Linked DNA regions of Xenopus tropicalis. The protein of the gene in region 1 binds, or shares a complex with, the protein of each later gene. Links are inferred from orthologs where the notes say so. Each region holds a gene or a part of one and is shown in the gene's direction. Other genes may lie near its edges.

Evidence for each region.
Region 2: the proteins of lrrc7 (region 1) and camk2a are in contact, whole or in part, in a crystal structure (PDB 6X5G), measured with the Homo sapiens proteins. The link is inferred for Xenopus tropicalis from reciprocal best matches to the Homo sapiens genes LRRC7 and CAMK2A. Residues at the interface, in NP_001357714.1 of Homo sapiens: His843, Gly844, Arg845, Arg846, Pro847, Leu848, Ile849, Arg850, Gln851, Asp852, Arg853, Ile854, Val855; in NP_001350919.1 of Homo sapiens: Glu96, Phe98, Glu99, Ile101, Val102, Lys137, Glu139, Leu159, Phe173, Ala174, Gly175, Thr176, Pro177, Gly178, Tyr179, Leu180, Ile205, Gly209, Tyr210, Pro211, Pro212, Phe213, Trp214, Tyr222, Gln224, Pro233, Glu236.

The regions. Positions count from the first base shown.
Region 1 is NC_030680.2:83,029,590-83,034,196, reverse strand, and holds the start of lrrc7 (leucine-rich repeat-containing protein 7), read left to right. Parts: upstream 1-1,616; 5' UTR 1,617-1,754; coding exon 1,755-1,779; intron 1,780-4,607.
Region 2 is NC_030679.2:21,001,270-21,005,091, forward strand, and holds part of camk2a (calcium/calmodulin-dependent protein kinase type II subunit alpha), read left to right. Parts: intron 1-1,450; coding exon 1,451-1,523; intron 1,524-2,339; coding exon 2,340-2,442; intron 2,443-2,822; coding exon 2,823-2,906; intron 2,907-3,738; coding exon 3,739-3,822. UniProt on the Homo sapiens protein: Calcium/calmodulin-dependent protein kinase that functions autonomously after Ca(2+)/calmodulin-binding and autophosphorylation, and is involved in various processes, such as synaptic plasticity, neurotransmitter release and long-term potentiation.

The DNA.
Region 1 (4,607 bases):
AGTTTGATAAACTGCCCCCCATATGTTCTCTGATTTTAATACTACTGTACCAACTCACAGACCATACCTTGTGCACTCTGAAGAACTGTTTTAAACTGTAAATATATGTTGGGCTGCTACTGGATGGTTTAAGGGAGACATATAGCATAATTTGAAACCCAAAGGCATGGATTGGCAATCTGTGGGTTCTGCCAAATGCCAGAGGTACTGTTGTAAGATGCCCCAGACAGACAATTTATAGGGCTGAGGGGGGGGGGGCTATTTGGGCCTTTGTGTACTTGAAATGTCAGGGCCTATTTTAAATCCCAGTCCAGACCTGGAAACCACCTATAATAAATTATATATGGTGCTGGTTTCACAATGGGTTAAAATGATCATTATCTATGTATTGTTGGAGCTCCCTATAGACCATCTCTGGTTCCATTGAGGAATGGGCATGCCAAAACAGTACCTGCCAGAAGCACAGTAGGATGGCAATAGCCAATCACAGCCCAGCAGTCACACAAGCAATGACAGGCCTACAGTGCAGTGTGCTGAGTGCCACCGGCTCCCCTGCACAGCCTGGGAAAGGAGACAGCAGGAAGTGGCACAGATAGGTGGGGCTCAGTGGCATAACTATATAGGAAGCAGATCCTGCAGTCACAGGGGGGGCCAGTGAGGTCCTAATTAATTTAGAGGAGTATAATGCACTGGCACAATCTTGTTTTCACACACTATCTCCTTTAACATCTATTTAAGCAATAGATTCTCCAACTGAGGGTCTGTTCCTCTTGATCCCCGTGTGCAGCATTGGCAGGCTAAGGGTAAATTTGAGTAAGCTTTGGGGTGAATGCTGTCTTACATGTTCTTTGAACTGTGGCTAAATTGTCGGCATACTAATAATACATTCAACATATGTTATAGTCCTAAAAGAGGACTTGAGCAAAAGAACAGCCCTGACTGCCGGCGTACGTCCCTCACTCAGCCCAGGAGAGCATGTCAGCACCTAGGACAGCAGCTCCCCATTGCCTTCATGTTTTAGGAACCTGCGGCCCCGCCTGCGCCTGCGCATAATGAAGCCACGCCCACAAGGCTTTCCCGACACTGACGCTTTGCTGGGCAGACTAAAGCGACTAGCGCACTCTGTTCTGCCCGAGCTCTGTGAGTTGTGCCGCTTCCATGGGCTTTTAATGAGCACTGGTCTTCCCGCTGCAGCAAACACAGGTAGAGAGGCGGGGCCAGGTTCTTGCTTGTAGTCTGACAGTTCGGGGCTATAGCTTTGGTTTGTTGCACCTTCCTGCGCACTGGAACTGATTTCCTAGTCGCTGGTCTATGCTGCGAGTAGTAGGGCTGGGAGCTGGATCCCAGGGTGCGATACTTGAGTGATGCACCTGTATGGAGGTAGGGAAGGATGAGCCGAGACGCTTCGGATTCCCATCTGTGCTGCTCCCTGCAGATCGTTCGAGGCAGACATGGACTAGAGGCTACACGGGGTCTGGCAATCACGTGTGCGATCTAACTAACGCGCTGGCAAATTGGCCCTGATCTCTGTCACTGGGATGGATTGGTGATATGCCTTTGAGTGGACTTTGTGTGAGCCCTTACGTGCACACTTCTGCTCTTGCCAGCCTTATGGGGGGCATCCCATGCTCGCACCTGAAGGGCATCTTTTAGGCACCATGAGCTGCTGCCGCCGCTGCCATTGATTCAGTTCCTTCCCGTCCCGCACCCCGGAGACCCTAGGAATAGCGCCCGCAAAGCTTCGCTGGAGCCTAATGGGCAATTTATCGTCCCTCCAATGTGAGTATTGTGCGCTCTCCCAGCCAAGTTTCCCTGCCTGACAGGACTATCAGCCCGGCGCTGGGGGCTACTGGCTGGAACCCCCATTCCAATGCAGGAGGGTTCCCATGTCATGTAGAGGGGTGCAATCAGCTGGAGTGCAAAGGAATATTCTGCAGGTTTTTCACATGTCTGTGTGTTATTCATGATGAATATGTGCATATTACTGCTGGGTATGCTGTAGTTATGATCATTCAAATATGGTGCTGCTGGAAATAGCAATACATCTGACAGCAGGGTACCTGCTGCCTAGCTACAGTTAAGGTAAGCTGGAAAGTGACATTATTCACCCCCCTCCCCTCCTCCATAAATGAAAGGTGGCAAAATGCCATATGGCAACAGTCCTAATTTGCACTTCATAGAACACAAAAGCAATGGAGAAAGCATCAAATATAACACTGGTGTATGTGAATTGTAATTTTGTAACTATTAACACGTCTGGTCCGCAGATAATTTTATGGGTAAATACTGTTCTGTGATTTGAAGCTATATATGTAGCTTCCCATTGTTTCAGGAGGAATAAGAAGAGCTGTGATTACTGCATGCATTTGGGAAAGGTGAGGAATGCCCAGGCTGCACCCTTCCAGCTGTTGCTTGATTGCATTTCCCAGCATTCTCAGGCATCTTTTGACTACCTGGGTGTGCTGGGAAATGCAGTTTTGATGGAGGGTCACAGGTTGGGTATCACTGCCATATAGTAATGTTGGAGTGTGCTTATAGTAACCTTTCTGGCTAGAGCTTAGGATAGTGGAGAGGTCAGAACATGGAGAACTGATGTGTGCTGCTTTGTGACCTTTTGACTATGCGTGTAGTGACTGACACATTCCCATGCCAACTGATCATTATGCATATAAATAGATAAACTTTTTTAGATTGCAGTATTCTTAATAATGGTCTGGGCTTTAACTGTATATAGCCCTGCTCAACTGGCTCTTGTAAATTCTTGTAACCTACTTCAGAGATTTAGGCAAAAAGGCTTGGTTTTCTCTTTCTTTGTTACATGCTTAGGTTGGGCTTTAGTGCAGTATGCTTGTATCAGTAAATCTGAAGGAGATTCTGTCTGGTTCCCATGCCTTTGACAGTTGACTGATGGTAACTGGTATATAGCTAATAAGGAGCTACCACGGGAATGCGTTTTCTATTTAAAGAACCTGTATAGTGAGCACCAAATGAAAGCTCATTTCTCTCACTCTGCCCCCTCCTTACCATCCTTTGCTTCTGTGGTAGAAAGACGTGCTTCTTCCCAAATCCCATTGGGCCTGTGTTTCTATATATGGAATACGGATTTAGGCAATCAATGCGCATGCAGAGCCTAAGTGATCAATCCTGCACTCCACATGCTGCAGTCACCCACATTTTCATGTCTTACTATACAATATATAAAAACTGCATGGGGATTTATGGAACCGTGCCCACCTCTTCACTGCTTAAACACATTTTGTAGAAGAATTAAATTGAAATGATATATTAAAAAGGTATTTATGACAATATATGGAGGAAAAAAATCTTAGAAATAACATTTTGCATTTTACCATGTGACCCACAAACAGAAGACATTATATGAGAAACCAAATTTGTATTGTATTTAGCATATATTCAGGCATGTGAAAAAAGGGTAATAATTCAATATTTTATTTGAACATTAGCACATGGCATGCTCTTTATATAATCAGTATGTTTGCTAATGTCCTGACTGGTAGATTTGGCTCATTGTGTACAAATGGAGAAACAGTCTAAATATCTCCTGCATAATATCCTTTCTAACTAGTAGCTTTTTTTAAATGGTATTAAGACTACTGTGTAACAGGTTGCCCTCTGTCGATATTTACTTATAAAATGTCTTATTGTGTGTGCGTGTTGTATAGTTGCTGAATGATTGGATAAGGAACACTCTAGGCACTTACTGTAGTTATTGATTACTGTATTTACTGTATCTTTACTTTGCAGCTCCACTTTCAAACCATTGGAATCATTCTAGAGAACCCATTAACATTTTAGTCCTTTATGGAAAGTTTGATTACATCAGCTTCAAAGTCGTGCAAAATAATATCCATAACAGTGTACCCGTGGGTATAGCCAAAGTGACCCTGAGCCACATGGACAGAAATACAGAGTGTGTATGTCCTACTGCAAGAATGAGGTCTTACTGCTGACTTTCTGCAGTGCTTTAGCCTAAAAGGTGAATGGTGGAGAATTTGAATGACAAATATGTTCAAAATTCTGCGCCTTATTAACAATACAGTACCAATTATGTGTTTGTATATAATCATATGTGTATCATTATGTATGTCATTTAACAAAGATTGTGTCATCACTTAGCTAAAAACACCCCAACCTTAAACTAGTTAAATCAATGTGATATATGTCTATGTAATCTCTGGTGCTCTTTAACAATCTAATTAATTTAATACCAGTGAGACATTTGGGACTAAGGGGCTGACTCATGAGCATAGGTACTAAATTGCAGTTGCCAGCAGCCAACAATCAGAGTCTACAACAACTTAGAAAATACAAGTAAAGTCCTGACTGGTTGCTATAGGCAACAGCACTTGTGCAAGTTGGCAACTATGTTTAAGTGAGCCATCCAATCTTTGATTCACGGTATTGCTGTGGAGCTAAATGTACTGTATAAAGTTTGCCCAAGGCTTGTCACCTGTAGCAAACAACCAGTAGGTAGTGTTACTGATCATCTGTTTAAAAGTAGGCATCTTATTCACCTTATTGGTTGCTATGGGTGACTAGCCATGGGCAGACTTTGTGCCTTTTATTAAAATGCCCCAATTGTATCT
Region 2 (3,822 bases), on another chromosome or scaffold:
CTTTCTGATGTGTGCTGAAGCTTTACAGAGATAATATTATCAGGAGCCAATAACCTTCTGGTAAGTTTAATAGTGTGATTAGAAACCAGAGTAGCTAATGAAAACCCAGTAGTATATTTTGACTGATACACTCTACCCCCAGAATAAATTCTTCACCAACAGATAGTTTATATCATATTAATTAGCCTATTAAAGAATCTTACCAAACTGAAATACATATATATATATATATATATATATATATATATATATATATATATATATATATATATATATATATATCAGTAAATATTGCCCTTTTACATTCTTTCCCTTGAACCACCATTTAGTGATGGGCTGTGGGCTCTCTCGGAGATCACCTGACAGGAAATCATGCAGGTGTAACAGGAAGTAGTGTGGGAGTAAAAGACAGTCTATTAATTGGCTGATGTGACATAACGAGTATGTGTGCCCTTGGTTTATTTGTGTACACCGTGGGGCCAGCCTTTAGTATTTAAAATGGTAATTTTGGCTTACCCAAAGGAACTTGCTACTAAAAAATATATTTTTATAAACGTGGTTTATTTAGGTGAAGCAGAGTTTTACATTTGAGCTGCTTTATGCAATATATTTTTATAGAGAACTACTGGGTATGTTTGAGGGTATAGTTTTCCTTTAACAAGACAGAAGGCTGTTTTGGGTGCAAAATGCACACTATGCAGGTTACAAGCATACAAATGATGCCTCAGGCTGCAGATTACAGGACCAATTCTCATTTTATCTGGAAATGATTAAACCTACAGAGTAACTAAGCCAATCCTGGGGATTACTTTTTGTTTTTAAATGGCACAGGTCTGGACTGGGATTCGAAACAGATCCTGGCATTCAATTACACATAGACCCAATTGGTCAAATAAATAGTAACTGTCTATGGCATCTTAACAGCAGCCCCTCTGGCATTTGCCAGAATCCCCAGACTGCCAGTCCTGGCCTAGATTGGCAGCATTCACTACAATGACAGGGATTGGTTATCTTTGTAGACAATGTGAAATAACGTAAATCCCAATGGTTATGAAACCTGTGTTTCTGGGTAACCACTGAGCAGATATGCCAATTTTCCAATATTGCCCAATATGGTAAGACATCGGTAACTCCACCGAGGAAATGTAATAAAAGGCTCTAAGTTTCTGATTACATGTGTAAAAAAAAATCTTATTAGTTTCTATGGGTGACAGCACTTGGGCCTTTTATTATATATGGGGGGGGGGGGGGTACTGGTTTAGTATAGAAAAGTCAGGGCAAATGGCCATATGTGCTATTAGTGTTCATTAATGTGCAGTATTTTTCTTTTATTAATTAACCAAGGCCAAAGCCTCTAGCGGAGTATAGTATGAAACCTCTGGGACTGCCAAATAGTCTATTAACGTAATGAGAGCAATGTAATGTCCTGTTTTTGCTTTCTTTTTTGCAGCCATTGCATTCAGCAGATTCTAGAAGCAGTTTTGCATTGTCACCAGATGGGGGTAGTGCACAGAGATCTGAAGGTGAGGGTAGCGGCAGTATGAATCCAGCAGTTGCCTCTATACAGACACCCTTGTGTACATGTTTGCCTGCATCATTCTCTGGGTCTTTCCAGTTTTCCTCATTGGTCACACACCCCATACTCCAGTTTTCTTTCATCATGTTTCCCCTACACATTCTGCATACTGAGAGCATATTCCATTTCCCTGGTTGTATGATGTTTCTACATGTACTATATTGCAATAATGTAATAAAATTATTCCCTTGGTTCTTTCATCAGGGTGTTTCTACACCAATATCTACAACATGGTGTATGTGCAACTGCAGTAAAGAGCCATCACACACTCTGTTCTTTCATCACAGTCTTCCTTTTTAAATACCATACATACCAATTCATTCTGTTTTTTTACCCAAAGTGCAATTTTATACCAAGACTGTCCTTGGCTTCCCTCTGCCATAGCACTAAGGTGCACCTACATTGATCTTTTATCATGATGACTGCTGCACCTGCCATAATCAGGCCAAGCTACTTGAAAGCAGATTGTGTTTTTTGCCCATTCCCTCCTCAGTCCTTCAGAAAACAAAATAACCTACCACAACCCCAAGCTCAAAATGTTCTCTAAGCCGCCTGACCCTTGGACCTATGTCCTATGCACATCTCTATTCTAGGTGGCAGTTGGTAACTAGAATTCTCCAATTCTCTCCATTCTTCCCTCCATTCACCATGATATAAAAAAGTTGGTAGAACAGCAACAAACTCTTGCTGCAGTTTGCTATTTTATCTGTTTTAGAAAATTACACATTGTTTTAATTGTTTTCCTTTGTTTTCCCTTGCACAGCCAGAGAACCTTCTTTTGGCTTCAAAACTAAAGGGAGCAGCTGTCAAACTGGCAGATTTTGGGCTGGCCATTGAGGTGGAAGGCGAACAACAGGCTTGGTTTGGTAAGTGAAGTACAGAGCTAACCTTTGCTATTTTCTGTAAGGCCCACTGTTTATTGTGATATTATTGTAAAGCTCTACAAAATGTGCTGTCAATATATGCTGATGATAATAATGATATCCTTGCCCACCCAGACTATTACTACCAAGGAACAATTTAATGCTCAGTTCTCTTGCGAGATCCCTAGTACAAACCCGCAAAGTTCAAATGAAGGGTGATAGGATGGGGTCATTACAGATAATAAAATAAATACTACAAATATCTGTTATTAAATAGTACTTTATCAGTTATTTGTATTTTGTAAATTTTTGCCCTAAAAACCCTATCGAGGGGTCATGGCAGCATCATGGTTTGGAGACTGACATGTATCTGGTTCTCACAGGCTTTGCAGGAACGCCCGGCTATCTCTCCCCAGAAGTTCTAAGGAAAGACCCCTATGGAAAGGCTGTGGATCTCTGGGCCTGTGGTAAAGATTTTAACCCTTCCTGTTAAAAATGTCTACTGAACAAATGATTCTTTTTTTAACATTCCTAAGCAGAAACAATTTCTAAGTTAGTCTAAAAGATTCTTTTATTCATCAGAATGCAAACTCACAACCAACCTACTATTTCTTTTTAAAGACAATTATAGTTCTAAATAACTTGACCACATGCATTAAATTCAGTGCAGCTGACCATAAAGAATTGTTGATGAGGTTTAGAGGGTATAGATCACTTCTTATTCAATGCAGCTGATGCAAGACTTTTTAAAATTACAGTGGAACCACCAGGGGACCAGAAAAGATGGTGTAAAATCCAGGAAAAATTTAAAGCAGGAAAATGCATTATATATTGGTGGGACCACAAATAATAATGTAAAACGAGAGAAAATTTAAAATCAGAGTATGTAAAATTGAGGTTTTATTTTAGGTCACCTGCAGTACCAATGTATTCAGAGGTAACTCAGTTACATGGACTGCAATGAAGCAGTGCCAATGTGTAATAATGATATGTCGGGTGTATAGCTGTAAGGGGTGCCAGTCATCACTTTGACCATGCAGTACTTTTAGCCTGTTGGCCAGTCACTCACGTTCTGTTGCTGGTGCTGCATTCCATTGCTGCGGAACCATAAAGATCTTAGTTAAATTGCTATTATATATTCATAGATGATTCTGGCCCCCGGTAACCTGCAGGGACCTGCCACCTGAGGCAAGTTTCTCAATCCTATTTTATAAATGTGGGAGCAGTTATACGCATATAGTTTAAGGGTAAAGCAATATTTGAATACTGACAAATTTATTCTCTCTAAATCTTGGCTAGGGGTTATCCTGTACATTTTACTTGTTGGTTACCCTCCTTTCTGGGATGAAGATCAGCACAGACTATACCAGCAAATCAAAGCCG